2 linked regions of the Struthio camelus genome follow. The protein of the gene in region 1 interacts with the protein of each later gene in a pairwise test. Links are inferred from orthologs where the notes say so. Each region holds a gene or a part of one and is shown on either strand. Other genes may lie near its edges.

Region 1 (10,141 bases):
AGTGACAGCACAATCTGGTAGTTCTGTTATTTAAGCATACACATGTAGGTAGAAAAAGAATTTTCTTTGAAGCAATTTGCTTCTAGTTCGCAAATAAAAAAGCAAAAATAAAATCAGAGAAGTAACTAGAAGAAAAAAAATCATATATGTGCATATATACACAAATACATATTTTTAACTGTTTAAGGAAAAATATAAAAACAAGAAAGGATACTTCAAGAGGATTGTCTGCTAAAGTGGAAACATCTAAGGAAAGCAACCTATAGGTTTGAGTAATTTGGGAAAGTCCTTTAAAAAGCCGCCCGAACAAATCCTCTGTTAACAAACCCTGGAACAGCAGAGAAGTTCCAGAAGATGTGAAGACTGATACTGGTATACCCATGACCAAAACAGGCACGTGGGATGACCCTGTTTAAAGTGGCTACAGTCCCAAATACACAAAAAAGAAAACTCTGCGGGGGTGGGGGACACTCACAGAAAAGGAGAGGTAACAAATAACAAGAACAGCAAACATGATTCACAGAGAACAAATCTGGTCAGAAAATGCTAATGTAATGCTTTTATTTGTTATTAAAGGTAACTGAGTAATGACTTTTGTAAGACCTATGAATTTTGAACTGAACAGCTCTGGGGAACTGGGAGGCTTTTGCGGTAGTAAAGCATCTCTCTCTTCTGGGAGCCAGAGAGGTTAGCCTTGCCTCTCTGGGGAAATTGTCTCTCCCAGATCCTGACGCTATCAGTGCTCCATCTGACTCTTGCAGCTCAGCAAAATATATCAGGTGCTGCTGCTGCTGTCACTAGCACTGCATTAAACTGCACTTTCCAGAGTGTTTGCCTGTCCCATCTACAAAACTTCTACAAAATAAACATCCATATGATATATCTGTGAAACTCACCTTAATTCTGTCTTAATGCTAGGCGAGTTTACTAGTATCGCCACACAACTTTGTTCTAAAAAAGCAGAGTTGAGCTGCTTCATTAGCAAGCTGGAAAATTAAAACAAATGGGAAATAAAATACCAAAATATAAACTTGACTCTATTCCTGATACCAAAATACTTTTTCTGTCACTACTGAGGCATATCTTGCCTCAAGCTATCTTGAAACTCAACCCATCTGTGCTGTATGCTACTTCTGAGTAAGTCCTTACAACTGGTTTGGGATGCTTCCTGGAACAACCGCCTGTCTCTCATATTGTTGTCGGTAGCTTGGCATGTGAAACTGCTGAACATGAGTTTCCAGTGTCACACCTTCAATAAAAACTTCTAGTGCTTGCCTTCAAACAATGGAATACTGAGGACAGAGGCAATTTTTATTTCCATGGGCACTAGTGACACCAACATCAGGATGCTAGCTGTAGTTCTCTTGTTTGTATTTTTAAGGGGATGTTGAAAAAAGTTAAGGCAGGTGAGGAAGACATCTACAGAAGTGATTTGGGATCTAGAGTGTATGCCTTACATTATTTAAACTTCTAAGATCTGTTATAAACCACACGCTAGACGTGCTGCCAGTTGATGGTTAATCCAATAGGCAAGATCCGAAAAAGCCCTGTAGAGTCAAAGGAGTTAAGACATCCCTATCCCCGGTGTTTCTTGGCTAGTTTAGATGGCTCCCCACTTGGTAGCCTAGATGTCTTTCAAGCTCACTTTGGGCACTGAATTTTGAGTATTTTTAAGGCCCCATTTTGACTTTCAGATTTCACCATGTGAGTCATCTAGAAACAAGTTAAACATTGCAACACAAAAGTCCATTTGGGGATTTCAGCCTATGTTCATATGCTAACATCCAAAATGGCTCAAAGCGTCTCAGAATTGCAGGCAAAGGTTAATTTGGGGTACTCAAGAGAAGGGCATGACTGTATCTGTCATAGAAAGTGGAGGAAATAGAACCTGGAAAGAGAGCTAGGACAGGCAAAGGTGCAAAAAGCTGGGATTTGTGGCAGTGCAGAGGATCTCCTATACACTGGTCTGTTACATGGTGGCTGACACTGGTGTGAGCAGCCAGGCAGAGCTATGGCTGTAGTCTTTTCCTTGACCTTTCTCTTCTCCTTTCCCAGCAATTTGTTGCTGTAAGTGACTAGATATTCTGGCTACGTTTAGAAGCAAACTCGGACTCCATACTAAAACGCTGAAGACTCCACTGAAAATAAGCAACTTGCATTAATCCATCAAGTGCTGGAATTATTTAACTGATTTTATTGTACGCTGTTTAGTATTCAGTGAAGTGTATCTGCTGATTAGGAATTCCGTTCTCCTTTGTCTATTCATTTTTTAGCTTTCTTGTAAAATTACTGTGCTTCTTTTTTAATCTTTACAAAATGAAAGGCTATTATCTTCCTGATGCATCCAGGAAGGGGGCTTTTTATCAATTAACAAGACAGTGATTCATACCCTAACAAACACAGGCTCTTTACTTTTTAAGTTTACAATGAAACATATAGCTTTTGGTGATCTGCTTAGATTGAACAAGCCTGTGGGTTATGTCTGCATTACTTGTACAGAGGGGCACTGGGAGGTCCCAGACGCACCCACCTGCCATAACAGAGCCCTTGCAAGTAGAGATGCCTGCAGGCTACTGGCAGGCAGCCTGTGTGGGCATATTGGGTGCCACCCATGCTGCTGACTGCGCTAATGGTATACTGGCAGCGTACTCAGCTACCTCAGCATGGCTGGGCATGTGGGGTCCTGAACTTGAGGGGTACCTTTTTTACACCTTGCTGCTGTATTTGGGGAAGACACGTATATATATGACAGCCAAAATCTATCAGGTAGTGCAACTACTGAAGAGTGTCTGAGGTTTATGGAATGAATTTACACCTTCTAGGGATCTGTCTGCTAACGTCAGAAACAGAGGAAACGACATTGGAGAAATCCTCGGTGCAAGAGGTGCATACCTCTCCCTTCTGATCAACTTCTCTGCTTGTGGTATAAGCAGAAGTCGCAGCTTTATGAAACTCAAAAGACAATTCAGTGCTGTTATTTGGCCTTGCAACAGTCAAATCTGGAGTATATTCTCAGTTGTGCCTCTTGGGAAGTAAGGTGTAATTGCCCTAAGTAGGGCTGTTAGAGTAGCCCTTCAGGGACGCTGTGAAGGCTCAAAGAGCGCAGCTCGGCAGCTATGCGCTTCCTGATCACGCTTCCAGGGAGGCCTTTGCACAGGGGCAGCAACCGAGAGCGAGACATTATTGTCCCTGTGTACGGCATGAAGAGTCAGAATACGGCAATCCTAGCCGTCTCCAATATCCCCTACAGTTTTTTTCCGTAACTAACTACCAGGCTTCCCATACTCCGTTCTCCTCAATGTGTTGATGAAAATTGTGGTAAAGAACAGAAGATGGCTTAAAACCACAGTCTGTCTAACAGAATGACTCAGTATCGGTCTTTAGTCATTGACATATTGTTCCTCACTTTCTCCTACACATTATTGGAAAAACATACAAATTAAAACTATTACTAACCACTAGGTTAACTCCTCTCCCTGCAGCTGTTCACCATTACCTTTTTTTGTTATTTAAAAGTATTTGGAATTGTGCCTATGTTCTGAGATTTCCTTTCCCTTACACAGGACAACTGACTGAAGTTAAGAAGTTCACTTCCAAAAGTCACTTCAAACTGTGGTAATGTGGTAGGCATGTTTCCCCTCTGAACTACAGCGATGGCTTCACGCTGTGAGGTCATACGTGGCCAAGTGTTAATTACACACTCCATCAGTTTTGCGATAGTCGAGGGTAGGCCACTTATCTATTTTTTTTTCTCTCTCCCTTTGCTCATTTATGGAAGATACACATCGCCTTAACAATTTAGCCATGTTCAGGAACAGAATTGGGTTTCACCTGTTTTTAAAGATAGGTAAGCTATGTCACCGTTTATTTGATTTGGAGTATGCTGGTTGAGTAGTTTCTAGCCTTGTTAATTTAGTGCCCTTGAATTTTTCAGTCATCACAGCTAGGATTTGAAAACTACCAAGACAGAAAATACCTGTCAGATAATGGAAGTTCAACATAGTTTGCAGGCACAGAAAATTTGAATATGGTCATGAAAGGAGATACATCAGAATTTATCATGATAGGTCCTGCATTTGCTAAAACCATATTGCATTACCCATTCAGATACCTTGAAAACGGAAGTTTTCTTCACGTGGATGGAAATATCCATGGCAAGGAGATTTGCTTAGCTTCTCTTCTAACTTAATTGCTCCTCCTTAATTGCTCTGTCCTCAAATCATTCTAGGCAAAGCCACATGTTAGAATCCTATCAGCGCAGGTTTCACGCCCGTGGTAAAGTTCATGTTGTGAAGAAAAATTAAGACATATTACACCTGTTTCCATGTCATCATAATTCTTCGTCACCTCATTATTTTGGGGTTTAAAATCATATAGTCGTTTTCAAAATTCAAATGGAAGGTGTAGGAGAACATGAGAGCACTCTTATTACCATGTTTATTCTAGCAACCCAGCAAAGGGGTAAAAGAGTGCACCCTGCCCAGGACACCACTGGAAAAGCACAGAGGAGAAGAAAGTTGCCAGGAAGAGCAAGAATTGCCAGAGAAAACTGGGGGCAGAATCAGGTAGTGAAAAGTCACTTCCTACTGCTTCAAGTTTCATTAGACTGGCTGTTAGATTTTACATTTACCTCATTGTCTTTCCCTCTGTCTTTTCATAACAAAGTGTGAGGGGCTCACACAAGTCCACCTGTGGCACACAACAAATATTAAGTGATTATTTAACAGTGCAAGGGTGGCACTTTCCGCCAGACTTCACTATACAACCAGGCTTAGAACAAGGGAGTCGGGAGGCAGCTTAGGAGAATCTTTGTAGTTGAAAGGCAGCTCACAGGATCTTTCCCCATTACCTCATTTGTCCTGCACTCTTCGAGAATCCTAGGTATTTGAATTACAAGTTCCTGCGGCAACTCGCATGTTTTAAAGGACCAAGTGCGATGGGACTCGGAGTGGCACAGAATTGGTGCTCGGTATGCACAGGTGCAGAGTTTGACTGAGAAGAGAGCAGCCAAGCAGCGCACAGCTGGAGGAACATCTAGCTGTCTCCTGCTTGGCCAGTGAGATCTTCTATTTGACATTACCTCTGCAGCATCTGGTAGAGCAAAACATGACACAACCTGACTTCATAAATGGGGAAAAAAAGTCTTCCTCCCATGAAGTGACTTTCAAGAGGGTGGCAGGGATAAGGAGAAATTACAATGGGTGCATATTACTTTTACGTTTTAGTGCAATGTTTGCCAGCACTGCCAGACCATGCGTTCAAACATTCTGAATTTCACCTAGCAGTCTTGATACGACCATGGAAATCCCAGCAGTTCAACTAATTAATGCAAGTTTTTTTTTCTCCTTGTTTTCTTGGTCTTGAATTTTTAAGATTCGAACTCCCTTTTTTCTAGCATGGAACTTGTAGGAAATAAACTTGGAAAATTACTGTAAAAATTTTGAGTTCTCACAGACACGTAGGGTTAGAAGCAGCCTCCTGTGCCATCACGTCTGGTACCACAGACAGGCACAGCGTGGAGTACTTTTAGCAAACTGATGCAGTAGCACAATAAAATGGTGGCGTTTTTGGCCTCTACAACTTCTCCTGTCAGGCTGTTCCAGGTTCTCAGAAGCGCGAGGCCTCTGAACTTCCAGCCTAAATTATTCCTGCCTGTTTGTTTGTTTTGGGGCCAGCACCGTCCTTTAAGTTCAACAGTAACAAGCTCGGAGATGGGACCTCAGGAGAGCACCAAGTGTTGCAAAAGCCGGTGGCTGCGCAGAGGAAAGGCCACGGAGGCGCCAACAGCATCTACCAGCAGCAACTTCGGTGGCACAACGCAGCATGAAAACGAAAGGTAGGAAGTTGGCGAAAGGCACTCGCGTGCTGCTACGGGCTGCCGGCTGCAGCCCCACCGACTGACCGCGAGGCCTGGCTCGCCCACGGGCCCGTCCTGCCCACGCCGCCAACGCCGAGGGGAGCCCCAGCCCGCGGGCGGGCAGCTGAGGGCGGCTGGCGGCCGGCGGCACGTTCCCCCCCGGGGAGGGCGGCAGGGCCCGCAGGCCGCGCCGCGCAGCCCCCGCCCCGCCTCGCCGCCGCGGCCCGCAGGCGCCGGCGGGCGGCGGCCTCCCGCGGCTGCCGGTGCTGCTGCCCCGGCCGGCGCGGGCGGGGAGGACGGCCGCTAGAGGGGGCTCCCCCGGGCTGCCTCTGCCCGCGCCCCGCTTCCTTTCATAGGCTGCGGCGCCGCCCCCCGCCCTCCCTCCTTCCCCCGTGATGGCGGAGGACAGCGAGTCTGCGGCCAGCCAGCAGAGCCTGGAGCTGGATGACCAGGACACCTGCGGCATCGACGGCGACAATGAGGAGGAGGCCGAGCACGCCAAGGGGTAGGGGGGCGCCCGGCGGGCTCGGCTCGCCTCGGCTCGGCTCGCCGCGGGCTGCGCCGCGGGGAACGCGGCGCTGCCGCGGCGGGGGCTGGGGCGGACGCGGCCATTGTGCGGGGCGAACCGAGCCGAGCCGAGCCGCGCCGCCGCAGAGAGCTCCGCGGCGGGCGGGCGGCAGGGCCAGGTGAGCGCAGCTCCTGTCAGGCGCAGGCCGCCTGCATGGCGGCGCGGCCGCTTCCCCGCCGCGTCTGCGCCTGTGCCGCCGCCGCCGCGGAGCGAGACCCCGCCGGCAGCCGCCCTCCGCCCGCCGTGCCCCGGCCCTTCCCTTTGCGGCCGCCCGGAGCCCGCCGGCCCCGGCAGCGGGCGGCCGGGCCGGGCCGGGCTGTGGCGGCGCCGCGGGGCCCGGAGTGCGGAGCGGGCGCTGTGGTCGCTCCCGGCGCACGAGCGGTAAACCCTGGCTTTGCTGATTTACTTATTTACCGCGATTTCTCCGGGTTTTTTTTTTTTGTGTGTTTGGTTTGGTTTTGTTTTTTTAGTTTTGGATGCGAGTTTTCTTATTTCTCCCTTGCCCTTTCGGCAGCACGGCGGAGTCGGTCGCGGCGCTGGGGTGCGGGAGCGCGTGGGGCGCCCCCTCTGCCCGCGCGCTCCGCCGCTCCCGAGGGAGGGGCGCCCCCGGCTCGCCCCCTCCGCCGATCTCCCCGCTCCCAGACCTTTTCCGACGCGCTCTCTGGCCGTCTGTCATGCGCTACGTTACGGTACCCCTCCTACGCAACGTCATCTATTGTCCAAAAGGAAATATTAGCTCTAAATCCACATGTTCTGGAGAGTTGAGCGTGTGTTTTGTCGAGACGTGAACTACAGCAGATACTGGTGTTTTTGTTGTAGTCCCTTCTCTCCTCTCACTGCGCAGCTTAAATCTTCCCACGCTGCAGATCAGATTTCTCCTCTGGGTGCTTGGGAAGAAAAAAAGATAGGTGGCCCACGCGCGCGGGCCCCTTGCACCTGATTGACGTTCCAGCGTGTTCTGCCTGGCCCCAGCTGGGCGCAAGGAGCTTCCTCCGCAGTTTGGGGCCCTGCAGGGAGGGGAGCAGGGGGAACGTATTTTAAAAATTGACTTCATTTAAATTTACCTTTTTGCTTTTTGGATTAGAAAATATGCTGGCAAAGAGAAAATGCTTTGTTGTCACAGCTAGGAGTGGCTCACGTAGCCTGAAGTAGAAATAGTTTAATTTGTAAACCACTACACACACATCTTCCCCATGAATTTCTGATTCGTTTGGCTGAGAGCATTTCTGAAGGTGATTGATGTTGGAGGATGCAGAATACTTGTAAGCTGCATGTCGACTCCTGCCCCTCGGATTTGCTTGGCAACAAGCAGCTCTGCATCTTAAACATGGTGAGGAAAAATCTGAGAGAGGTAGAAGGGCTGACTTGTTTGAAAAGTAGGAAAGGGAAAAACTTCCTCCGTTGCCACTCTCTCAGCACATTTTTGGCAAGCGTGCTAAAATAATTGTGTAAAAAAATTATTGTAATGTGAGGCTAGGCTATTGACAAAAGGGACAGGATAATTTTTAATTATCTTGGGGCTTTTGTTATATTTGTTTGCATAACTATGCCGCTGTTTGGCTTCCAAATTCATAAAAGAAACACCACTAAAAATAGTGAATGATTATTTATTGCTCTTCGTAGACGCCAACCTGACGTGCCTGGCCAGATTGTTTGATGGCTTGGTAATGGCTGTCTAGAATTCATTCCGATGTTATTCCTGCTCTGATTTCTTCTCCTGCTTGTTTTCGTGATCGAGCTGTAGTTGCCTTGTGCTGTATATCTGGTCTTGCGGCTGTGCACTCGGGCTGCTTTGACAGGGGGTGCAGAAGCAGTGTATAAGCTGCAGCAGTGGAACAAAGAATTGCACTTCAGCATGCTCTGCATCGTAGCTTGCCGTTGTGCTCCAAGTTAGGGCCCTAAGCTTTGTGGGACAACTAATGTGGCTATGGGCCATACGCTGCGCTCTCCAAAATTTGTTTTTGTTGAATATCCAAAATGTATTTTAATGAGTATTTCAAAGAAGCCACTTTATTCATCTTGGAAATATCCAGCTTCTTATTCAAAGTAATGTACATGAAGTTTAGTGAAGTAAATGGTAGGTCATTCAAGTAGAAAAAAGCCTCTAAATATTAGACATCAGTTTCTTATCAGGCTTTGATCCATGGAGTCTAGTACTAATTACTGTTTTATTTTCTCATAATTTTTGAAGATCTGGTTTGTTACTCTTTATCTGCAGGCCAAAGCGTTTGAACAAATTTCATCAAATGAAAAGTCTTACATTACAGCAAACACAACAATATTTTAAGATCTCTTCCAGATCTAGGAAATTAACTCATGGTAGTAGGAGCCCATGTTCCCTATTGTAATGTATTTATTTTTGCAGTAGCTTTAAAATTTGCTTTGAATTTTCAGATTAGTTTTTATATAATTAAGTATTTCGTAAGCAGTCCTACAACTTAAAATTGTGACTGTGGCAATGACTTGTTAACTTCTGAATGGTCTGCATTGCTGCTGATGAATATTTAATGTCATCCTATCTCAACTGCTACTTTCTTATAAGGAGGTAGACTGTGTTCTGCGTGTCAGTCTCTAGTAAGACTGGAAGGTGTATGAAGTTGCTCTGAAACTGTTTCTTGACATTTGAAATTGCACCTTTATAATACTAACCCCAAATAGATATGGTGTGTGTGTATGTATATATATATATATATATATATATATATATGCATGAATTGATTTTTAGTTTACTCTTGGGTTTTTTTGATGTGCTTGAGCACTGAATGACTGCAGCAGAACATAACAATTTATAGCTCTCAACTATGCAAGTGTCTTTGTCCTCTGTGCTCCTGTTTTCTAGATGCAAGATTATGTATGTTGTGTGACTCATATTGCTATTCTCCTGTTCTGTCTCTGCAGTATGTTCCTGATAGATGCATTCTGCTGTACTTGTTTGGTTTCATAATAAAATGTTGTTTACCAAGTAGCTTTTTTAGTGTGTATGTAGATAAAAATTGTGTTTATTGCACCTGACTCCACCTTGCTGAGCCCAGCTTTGTGTTCATTGTAAAGAGCTCCCTATACTGTATGATAGAAGGGGTTAGAACAGAGAATATTTAATAAGCAGATGAGGAAAATTAATAACCTTTAAACAAAAAAGTCTCCTTCCCACCCCTAAACCCTCATAAATGCTTTCCTTTGAACATTTTATTAGCATAATCCTTTAATTATGATTCTATAGCAGCTTTATAAGCAGTACTACTTTCAGTTTTTTTTAAAAAAATACAATTTTTAAGGCACTGGAGGAAGAGTTCTGCTTTGACAGGTGAGACTTAACTCCTAGAGTATAGCCTTACAGGCTTGAAGGAGGGGTAGACGAAACATGCTAAGCTTTGGGGAGTACCTGTTATATCAGGGTTTAAGGCATACTAGTAGGTTTTCATGCTCAAAAAAACCTGTGCATTTCCAAGTACTGAAATGTATGAAAATGAAGCCTTAGTCCAGGACAGTTGTTACCAGTAGTAGTTTTAGCAGTGAAATTTGAAGGACTTAAGACTTTCATGTCAGCATACTTTTTATTCTCTCAAAATGGTGGTCCTCTAATACTGCAGTAGGAAAGCCCTTTGCACATAAGCCTCCGTTTTCTGCATGAACCAGGGACAGCCCTAGTATAAATAATGTAACTTTGCTGTTTGTTACGGTCTGGCCTATATACATGAGATCTAATTTTTATGATC
Region 2 (10,559 bases), on another chromosome or scaffold:
ACCTGGGAGAGGGATTTTTCCACCAGCGTTTAAGAGGAGGTTTAATGATACGCTGGGGAGAGGGGAGATTTAGGCGGGGGGGGGGGGTTGCATCCCTTTCCCATCACGGCTACTGATTTGTATTCACTACAGCAAGGGAGTTTACGGAAGGGGGGAACTGCTGTTTTATTGATATCTAAAATCGATGGATATCAATATCTATCACCTGATCTGATGGATGTGCTAATCACACGCTTTTCTTCCAGCTTCTCTTTTTCCTAGGCAAACGGCCCCGGTGCTATGGTGAAGGCAGGTAAAACGTGCAGCCGAGCGATACAGCCAGCCCCTCGGCGTCCCGGCGTCCCCGCCGGACCGCAGGCACGGTGGGCCCGAGGGAGCCGCAGCGCGCGGGTCTCCTCCCCGCCACGTTACGCCGCCGCTGCGTCGTCTCCCGAACGCCTTCGCGTGCCGATCGCCGCAGGTCTCAGCGCAGAGCCGGCTGCCCCAGCCCCGTCTCCTGCTGTTCCTCCGTCCTCCGGCTGGTCCCATCTCCCAGCGGCATCTTCCCTCGTGTGCCCGGCCGCCCGAGCTGGGACACCTCGGGCCTGTCCCCAGGCGCACGGCTGCACCCGCCTCCGCCGTCCCTGCCCGCTCCTCCTCCCGCACGGCAGACGTACCCAGCGCTGTATAAAGTCTGATAAAAGACGCGTTCCCTGGCCGGGGCCGCGTTGAACCCGCATCGATCCTGGCCTGGATCGCGCAGCCCTGACGGACATATCTGCCGTTTTACGGCAGGACGACGCCAAGACGCGCGTTGACCGCAGCAAATTGCTTGGCGGCGCGGGTCTGAAAGCGTAGCGGGCGCCCAGCTGGGATCGACTCGGGGCGAAACCATCACAGCGGCCAGCCGGGCCGGCAGCAGAAGCGGCGGCGAGGCCCCCCCGGGAGGCGGGGGGGGCCGGGTCCCGCGGGACCTTTCCTCCGCAGACCTCTCCCGAACCCGGCCGACGCCAGGGCAGAGACCTCGGCCGTTTGTTTAGGTTCCTCCCTGGCCAATATTGAATTTTGGAGCCGCCGAGCGTCCCGGCGGGGCGGGGGTGAGCCACGGCCGCAGAGGGCCACCGCCTTGCCTGGTGGGTCCGAACAAGGCAAGGGCTGCTCTGCTCGGCTTGCGGGCCTGCGAGGGCAAGCTCTGCTTTTGGGGTAGCGGCTGTGGGTGCTGGGGAGCACCCACAAAGGACCGCGTCGGTACAGGAGCTCGCAAAGATGCAAGAGCGGGTAAAGAATATAGAAAGGGGAGACGGGATAAAGTAACGAACCCGAAGGGTAACATCGGCGCGCCTCCTTCCAGAAACTCACGGCCCGGTGTCTCGCAGCGGGAACTCGGAGGACTTGGCAGCCAGGAGAAAAGCTCCCAAATGTCGGCCCCGCGCCCCGCCGAGATGGCTCGTGGATGGGCGGCCGTCACCCACGCAGCTCCAGGCCCGCCGGGCTGAGCCGTCCGCAGCTACGGGCTCCCACCCCGTGGAAAGGGCGCCTGGTTGCACGGGTCCCCAGAAAGTCCGCGGTGCACCCGTTGCCCTCGGCTCGTCCCCCCGCAAGACGCCGGTAAGCCCGGAGGCGCCCGCTGCCCTGCCCGGCCCGGCGGCGGAGGTGCTCCTCCGTCGTCGCCCCGCAGCCCCGGCGCGCTGCCGAGGTGAGCCAGAGCCAACCCTCCGCAAAGCGGAAGCGGGCCAAGGGCGGTCTGCGGGGGACGGCGGGGGGGCAAAACCAACCGGAAAGGCAGGGGAACGACCAACGAGCCGAGAGAGGGGCCGCGCGGGAGCCCAGGAGCTCAGAGGGGACCCGCGTTCACCCGAGACGCGGGTCTGCAAGGGCCCGAGGCAACACATGCCACCTCGAGGGCTCCTCGGTGGCGTGGCCCCCGCGTGATTTTCAAGGGCTGGGGACCGGCCATCCGCACGCCCTTGGGAGGGCGCACAGCTCCAGCCCGTGACCTATTTTTTTCTCCGTAGCCAGGTGTCTCCCGCAGTAAAATGAATGGGCTTAAACAAAACAGCTCTTAATGACCTCTTTCTCCTTTTGTTGTGGAAGGAAAACGTAAAATCATAGCTTAGCTCCCAGGGATCCCTTCAGATGCTCCTTCCAGGCTGCCCCGGCTTGGAAGCGAAGAGCGGCCTCCTGCCCTTCACAAAGGCACAATGATGGGTTTCCAAGCTGACCAGTATGATGGATGTGGTAATTACACGGGGATATTTTTTCCCTGCTCGTCTCTGCTGGTTACAGCCTGTTATTGTGCCTCTGAGAGCCCAGCGTGGGACCTGGGGCCGATCCGCTCGCACAGCTCGGGCAAGGGCCCTGGCCGAGCAGGACGGCGCCGGTCCAGCCCGGCTAATTTGGGGCTGAAAAGATGCAGAAAGCCGCGCCAGGAGCCGCGGGCTGATTGCCTGCATGGAAAAGCCATGCCCAGGCAGCAGCGCGTGCGCTGGCCGAAACGGCTGGCTGCACCGGGGACCCCAGGCCAAGGAGGGACATGTCCGGGGCAGCCCGGGGCACCGGCTGCCGGTACCAAGCCAGGCGCCCGCCGGAGCCTCGGAGAGAGAACGGGCCTGATTTTTGGCCCCGCTCTTAATGGGAGGGCTGGGGCTCTGCGGTGCGCGGCCCTGCTTCGTGCTGGCTGCGGGAGCTCGGGTGCCACGGCCAGGGCCCTCTGAGTCTCCGTCCTGCCCTCTCCCCCGGCCGCTGGGAACCAGTAAAAAAACAAACGTGATCCCAGCGAGCAAACGAAGCGTTTTGGAGCCTGCTATCCACCTCCTTAGCTTTTTCCCATGCCAAGCTCCTAAAAACTCCCCGGGTGGCTTGTAGCAAACCTGCTCCCACGCCTGCCGAAGCGAGGGGGTAGAGGGAAGGATTGGGCCCTCCGTGCAGTTGCTCTTTAAAAAAAGGGAAGGAAAAAGTGAGAGAAATCTGGTATGAGCTATAAGTGCTTCAGCAAAGCAGCCCAGCAAGGTAACAAAGGCCTCTTTCACCATGGAGACGAGGCAGAAACCGTGCGGAGGCTGTGCGCTTCAGTCAATTTGCAGCAAGTACTTTTGCAAGCTATTCCTAGAGGGTTTCATCCTGCCACCCTGCCCCGGTTGCCGTCTCTTGCCGAACGCTGGCGGAACGGGACCAACCAGCGCTTTTCCGCGGCAAGCGGGGCCGGCGGGGACCGCGGCGCCTGCGAGCCTTGGCGTGCAACGCACAAAACCAAGCTTTTTCCATGCCCCTTTGGGGCAGCAGGGCTTTTCTGCTCGTGCGGAGTCCCGCGCCTGAGCGCTGGGGTGCTGCAGGGCCCCGGGGTGCTGGGCCGGCAGCGCGGGGAGCAAAGGGAGCTGCACACGGTGCCGTGCGGAGCCGGGCTGGGAAGTGGCTCCGTGCAGCCCCGACGCCAGCTGGATGGAGCTCATTGATTTCTGGTGGAGCGCAGCACGCGGGAAGAGCTCGTTGTAAATATTGCGGTCTGTTTATGAGTTTGGGTGTTAGTCATGCACTCGAGACGAGCTATTATTTTTTATTTGCAAGCAGCAGAGCCAAGCTGATTCCGCCTTTCCCCCCCTTCCCGGCTCGAGCCAGGGACTCGCTCTCCTCCGCAGAGGCTAGGAGGCTGCTGTGACTTCCAACCTGCTTGCACAGCACCGGCAGGCTCTTCAGCAGGCAGCCTGGGCGCACAGGGCTGCACGGGGGGACGGGTGCTCCCAACCCTGGTGCAGCGCATGCCTGTCCCTGCGCCAGGCCAGCCCCATCCTCCTCCTCCTCCTCCTCCCCCAGCTGGGCACCCTGCACTGGCCCCCAGATCCTGGTGCAGCCCTAACGGGTAGCACACAGGCTGAGCTGTGGCTTGCTCCGGGACAGCTTCGGCCACCAACAGCAGTGGGGAACGGGGGGGACACAGGCAGGAAGAGGAGGACACGCTCCTACACACACACACTCCTGCTGGCCCTGCACAGAGGGACAGCACCGAGAGGCTCCAGTGGGAGGGAGCACAGGAAGTTTTGCAGCTGGGCACAGCAAATGGGTCCCTTTTTTCCTCTAGCTCAGGGCTCACCTCCCCTAGCTCTCCCTGCTCTCCACTTCCTCTCTCCGCTCTGGCCCCCTTCCTCCCTGGGTGAACCAGAACAGGGGGTGGGGGGCAGAGGTCTACTGCAGGCAGTTTTGAAGCCCTGTCATGCAATGAGTAGGTTATTTAGGGCAGCTGCACTGGCCCAGTCAGAGCAGCTGAGCAAAGGCTGTGCTCCTTCTCCTCCTGGTCCTGGTGACCACCAGGACCGAGGGACGTGGTATGAGCCAAGCGCAGTCCTTGCTGCAGCTCTCCCGCAGCCCGCGTCCTGCCTTGCCCTCACGTCGTCCTGCTTTTGCAGCAAAACAGCCTGAACTGCGGGTCTGCTGAGGCGCGAAGGAGCCCTCCAGTTCACTGCCTCAGCCGCGTTGTTTCACGGTACCTCAAAGCTTTTTCCTCCCTAAAGAAAAAAACCCTGCTCGCAGGGAAGCAGGGAAAGGGCTGTAAAGTGAGTAAGAGCCAGTCTATTTCTGGCTCCAGCGTGAGGGGGTTTTTTCCACAGCTCCTGCGTTTCCCTCTGAAAGCCCCAGGGCAGGAAGAGGGGCGCGCGTGCCGCTCACGTGCAAACGAGCGCGAAGCATCTGGGATGCGTCAGGGAGGTGCCGAGAAGCTGTGCGGGTGGCCCAAGGCACGCGTGCGGGGCCCGTTTGTCCTTGGCCCCGGGCGTGCCGTGACGAACGGCCGCGGTCCTCCTCTGCCACCTGGGGCAACGAGAGGAGGTGGCCGGGGGACAGCCGGCAGGTGCCATGGCAGCCTCCAGCTGCGGCACCCGGGCTGCGCCACGCGTGTCTCACGGCCGGTAGCCTGGGGCGAGCTGGGGGACCTCCGAACGGGGGGGTCTATGGCTAGCGAGCTGCTGTCAGGCAGGCTGCAGGACTGCCAGGAGCGGGGCGCAAACCCCAGCCGTGGCGGGGCCCGCTGCTTGGCGGGCGCTCTTCGCCTCAGTCCGCCCCCCTGCAAAGCGGGGGCCGTAGGGCACCGCGCCGCTGCGAGCGGCTGCGGCGGGCCGGGGAGGAGCGGAGCGCCCTGGCCAGGGTGGAAAGAGGCCAGAGGAGGATCAGGTCGGGGCTCCTTGACCCGCTGGGCGCCCCGGGGTGGGCCAGGTTTCCTCAGATGACTCGGAGCTGCCATTTGCTGAGGCTGGGGGTGGAGAAGGGAGATGGACTCAACAGCTGTGCGGAGGGAAAACTTTCCACGCCAAGCGGATACCGGGCTAAATATAAACCGCCTTTGGGCTCGCGTTGGCCGGGACCCCCCCCGCCCAGTGCAGGCGAGGGCAGGGGGACCTGCCAGCGCTCCCCGAGGGCATCCCCCGGGCAGGGTGACTGACGGCCGCGCGGCGCGGTTCGCTGGGGCTGCCCTCGGGCACCCCTGCGTGCGCCCCCGGCCCGCTCTGCTCTCCGGCCGCGACGCCTCCCGCGCTCCTGCGGAGCCGCCCGGGTTTGTTTCCTGCTCGAGCGAGGGGAGATGCCATCACCCCCCCCTTAAAAAAAATAAAAATAAAGGTATGGGAAGACCCTCAGCAGGCAGGAATCGCAGACGAAGATCTGCAGGCCGGCTCGGCAGCCAGCAGCGGGCCCCGGCAGCCGACAGGCGCTTTCGGGTTTCTCCAGGGGGGCGGAGCTTGGCCGGGAGGGGCGGGGCTTGGCTGGGCTAGGCGGAGCTGGGCGGGGCGGAGCTGGGCGGGGCGGGGCAGAACTGGGCGGAGCCAGGGAGCGGAGCGGGGCCGGGAGGGGCGGGGCTTGGCCGGGCGGGGCGGGGCTTGGCGGGGCCGGGCGGAGCGGAGCGGAGCCGCCAGGCGCAGCCCTGGGCCGCCCCCAAGCGGCGGCAGCGGCGGCCGGGGCTGGGGTGAGAGAGCGGCGCTGCGGCGGGGTTGGAGGTCTCCGGGGGGGAACATCCAGTTTTGGCAATAGTTCTTTTTAAAACAAAAACCAAAAAAAAAAAAAAAAAAGAGAGAGAGAAATATCTGAGGAGCAGCTGGCGGAAGTGGACTGGCCGCCTTCTCTTCGCAGGGAGAACGCAAGCTTCAGAAGCAGAGGAGAGATGTTTTAATGCCAGGTTTCTGGGTGGAATTAAACAAACCCCAAAAGCCTCGCTGCCCGGGTGCCGCCCTCGGGAAGGAGGCCGTACCCGAGGGGAGGCGCTGCCGCCCGGCAGGACCCTCCGCCTAACCCTCGCTGGGCTGCAGGGAGGGGAGCTGCCTCTTCGTCGGGCAGAGAGGGCTCTCCGGAGCCCGTGGGCACCATCACGCTGTTACTGCTCGTGAGAACATGAGCATCGTCGCCATCTCGCAGCGCAGCCCGCGGGAAGGCGCTGTTTGCCCCCTGCTGCTTCGCACCCGGCCATGGCCCGTTTGGGAAGTCGGGCGTGGATGCGGTGTTTGAAAAGTAACCCGCTGTTTGTGCAGGATGGTGGTAGCCGCTCTGCGAGCGCTTCCCCTTCCTCACCGGCCGGGTGGTGCGAAGCGGCGCCAAGTTACCCGGGGAAGTTCAGGGCAGGTCTCCCCGCCCGGCCGGCCTGCGGGGCGGCCGGAACGGTCGGGCGCGGCGCGCGTTTCCCGCCCGGCGCGGCGGCTGCGCGTACCGAGGCGCGGCGCGGCCGTTGCGCGCCGGGGGGACGGCGCGGCGGGCGGACCGGAGCGGAGCGGGCGGCGCGACCGCCATGGCGTCGCCCCCGCTGGCCGCGGCGGCAGCGGCGAGCGGCGGCGAGGCGAGCTCGGGGCCGGAGGCCGAGGAGCCGGCGCCGCCGGGCCGCGACCTGGCCGCCCTCTTCGAGCAGGCGGCCGAGCGGCTGCCGGCGCTGGTGCCGGCCGCCAGCAAGGAGCAGCTCCTCTACCTGTACGCCAGGTACAAGCAGGTGAGGGCCCGGCCCCGGGCGCCGCCGCCGCCGCGACGGGGGGGCCCGGCCCGGCCCGGCCCGGCCCGCCGGCGCCTCGGGCCTCCCCTCTCCCCCCACTCGGGCTTCCTGCCCCCCCCGTGTCCCTTCCCCCCAGCCAGGCCCCACGTACCTTGTCCCCCCGCTGTGTCTCTGCTCCCCCAGCCAGGCCCCACGTACCTTGTCCCCCCCCCGTGTCCCTTCCCCCCAGCCAGGCCCCACGTACCTTGTCCCCCCGCTGTGTCTCTTCCCCCCCCCAGCCAGGCCCCACGTACCTTGGCCCCCCGCTGTGTCTCTTCCCCCCCTAGCCAGGCCCCACGTACCTTCTGCCCCCCCATCTCTCCCCCCAGCCAGGCCCCACGTACCTCCCCCCCGCCCAGCCAGGCCCCACATACCTTCTGCCCCCTCCATGTCCCTCCCCCCCAGCCAGGTTCCATGTACCTCCTCCCCCCTTCCCGGGTCCCTTCCCCCCAGCCAGGCCCCATGTACCTCCTCCACCACCTCCTCCCCCCCCCGGTCCCTTCCCCCAGCCAGGCCTCATGTATCTTCTTTCCTGCCCCCTCTCTTTCTCTTCCCACCCCACAGGTGGGTCCCAGGGTCTTCCCCCCTCCACCCCTGGCCGAGGTTTCAGGCCCTGTTGGGGTCCCGGATGAGGACCTCGGGTGTGTACAGGGCACCCCGGGTTAAACCGTTAGACCCTTTAGTGCAGAAGGAGTTTGAGGGCAGTTTGGAAATGGATAGAGCAAGTCCTGACTCTGGTTGGTCAGAGAAAGTTACTTGCTTCAGGGCTCTCCTGGAGGCACCTTGCCTCGGTCCTTTGATGGCCGCAATCTCTGCCTTGCAAAAAACATGCTTTCTGTATCCTACGTGATAAGTGGGAAAAAGTTGCCTAAGGAGCAAGGCGACCCAGCTTGTGAAAATAAGGATGTAGAAAGCTCTTTATTAAAGCACAAAAGTTGAGTTGCCTTAACACTGCGTATGATAAAGCTAGAGAAAATATAATGGGATAAAGAGCCTCTTAATTAATCACGGTGTTTCCAATTCTTTTCTGCTTCACTGTGGGTAACTGTAGTACAAAGCTGCTCGCCTCTGAGCTGAAAACTTCAGTTTGACCCCTGTGGGGGCTGCTCAGTTGCTCGAAGTTGGGAAATTGTCTGTAGGATTTGGCCTTAGTCACTGAGGAGTCAGTGCTGTGACAGCTCACCGGTGGGTCGCTGGCCTGTCGAAAAGTTTGCTGAGTCTTTGTGGAGTAACTTGTGGAGTAATCTTACAAATATCGCTGTCTCACTTCCATTTGTCAGCTCCATTGTGTAGGTTAGGTGACAAGGAAACTGAGCTCTCTTTGTATTTTTACAAGTAGTTCCTACGAGCAGGTTAGAAAAGCCGACTGAACGGTTTGTAGGGCAACGCTAGCGCTGGCGCTGGTCTTCCCGTTCAGAGATGCGAGCTCTGCAGTGGGCTCTGTATTACTGGGCCGGGCGTGAGCATTAAACTTTTGAAGTTTTGGTGTGGCCTCATGTGTCGGTCCAGATCTATTCGTGGAGTCAGAGCCTTGGTGTGGACTGGGAAATTAAACTCCTCAGCTGTATGTATAATTTTGAATGTGAATCCTTTTCCCATTCGGTTCCCGTGAGTTGGCAAGTTCTGGGATGCGTCCTATTGGAATGTATGGTGTGATTTGGTTCCCTTGTTAAGGATAAACTTTAAACACTTGTTATCATAGAGATATTTCCCTGCTGCCTGTATGTCTGATCATAGACTAGATCGGCAAGCATTTTGTAACTGACCGCTTTCTGTTCACCGAAGGACTCTGAAATATCTTCTGTGGATAATCAGCTAAGCTTAATTTTTTCCTGTTCTTTGTCGGATGGGTGCTTTGACACGATACAATGGTTTACTGATAGGTAAATAGTTCAAAGCATTAAAACCAACTTGAGCATGCTTGCTGGTGTTACCCTGTTATAACTCGCCCCCCACCTTTTATAATCGTGTCAGTTTTTCCTGCTCCTGTGGGAGAATCTATGCAAACAAAACAGAAAAAGCACCAGCTAAGGTACAAAGGACTGTAACAATTAGTTAGCCTGGAGAAACAAAGTCATGAGTATTGTTACAACTGGGAGATTAAAGAATAAAAGTACAAATATGACTGTGTGTGTGACAAGAGACGCTGCCTTGACTTGAAACTTGCATGTGATCCTTTTGCATCAGCTCGGATTAGCAGAGTCAAAGTTAAGTGTGTGCATCTTCCCCATAATTTTTCTCCCATATGGGATGCACTACAGATACTGTCTCACTACAGCCACTTCAAAACATTTTTATTTTTTTAAAGCAGTATTTAGTTATTCTCCAAGCTGGTGGCTCTCAGACTGGTTTGTGGGCCATTAATTCTGTCAAGTGCTGGCTGGTCATGTGATGCTCTGTCTTCAGATTTTTCTGCTGCTTAAGCAGGTCTACAGGATTCTTTCTGCTTTTAAGAAAAAGGTGGGGGAAAGTACCTGGGGAACTTTAGTAAGAACTGTAAGAACCATGCCTGGGATGAGATGAAGAGAAAGGGGTTTTTCTGTACTATAAACTTTGTTGTTGCATGTAATTATTGAACAAGCATTTCTGTAGCCTGAGGAGATGTGCTGCAAATAACCTCTATTTTTCATTTTCTTGCAAATGTTTTGTCCTGCCGTGGATGGAAAAGGGAAGGCATTACTTGCATATCAGTTTGATAGCTAGCAGACTACAGGGCGTTTCCTGGTGCTGGCTCTGTAAGAGCAACAAGGTGTTTAATGTTTGGCTTAAAAATTACTAAAATCAGAAGCTATTTCACAGCAATGATGGGTTTGATAGAAGCCCTAAAAAGACCAGTCGTTACTGTGCATCAGCACAGATTTGTGGCAGGTTTCCAGTTGACTGCTGCTGGTGGGATCAGCCTATTTCTCTCTTCTCCTTCTCTGTCCCTGTCATACCTGGCTGAGCTGCACGCGGAAGCAAGAGCTTTCCTGCACCTTGGTTTTGGGGTGGGTTAGGAGCTACGCTGTCGCTTGTCCAGCACAGCCCAGAAAGGTGCAGTCCTTGTTTTACAGTGCCTGGGAGGGCAGCGCTTGCAGTGAAGGTGGGAGAAGTTTGCTAGTACAGCTACTGCAGGATTAGGTTCTGCTAACTTCACTTTGTGCAGCATTCTGTGCTTTAAATCAAAGCAATGGTACTTAATGCGACTTTTCTCTATTTAATTATAGCAGCCATATCAGTATGCATAATGGGCTGCTAATATATTACTCCAGTGGACAGTAGTATTGCTAGCGTACAAAAGGTGCTGACTCAGATCTGTCCACTGTCCTTGATTTGGCATCCTTATCTTTCCACAGTCTAGTGTTTTATGTCACTAAAGGCTTTGATTTAAGATACAGCACCGTCATAAAAGAGATGACAGTAACAGCTGAGCTCTCTGTTAAAATACTGTGCATTATTTATTTCAAACTATTTGGGTATATAACCATTTTCCTGGAATTTTATTACCTTTTATTGGAGGCCATTTCAGGATTTTATTACTTTTCTCTCTGATTTTGTTTATGTGTCAGAGACTTGAAAATAAGGGAATTGCTTGGTTGTCATCTCC

Evidence for each region. The genes of interacting proteins can lie anywhere in the genome.
Region 2: the proteins of NMT2 (region 1) and ACBD6 interact in binary tests that used the Homo sapiens proteins (3 or more experiments, as listed by UniProt). The link is inferred for Struthio camelus from reciprocal best matches to the Homo sapiens genes NMT2 and ACBD6.

What each region holds. Positions count from the first base shown.
Region 1 is NC_090943.1:24,859,900-24,870,040, forward strand, and holds the start of NMT2 (glycylpeptide N-tetradecanoyltransferase 2), read left to right. Parts: upstream 1-6,236; 5' UTR 6,237-6,252; coding exon of another isoform or gene 6,253-6,301; coding exon 6,302-6,362; intron 6,363-10,141.
Region 2 is NC_090949.1:6,765,583-6,776,141, reverse strand, and holds the start of ACBD6 (acyl-CoA-binding domain-containing protein 6), read left to right. Parts: upstream 1-6,710; 5' UTR 6,711-6,739; coding exon 6,740-6,934; intron 6,935-10,559. UniProt on the Homo sapiens protein: Binds long-chain acyl-coenzyme A molecules with a strong preference for unsaturated C18:1-CoA, lower affinity for unsaturated C20:4-CoA, and very weak affinity for saturated C16:0-CoA. Does not bind fatty acids. Plays a role in protein N-myristoylation.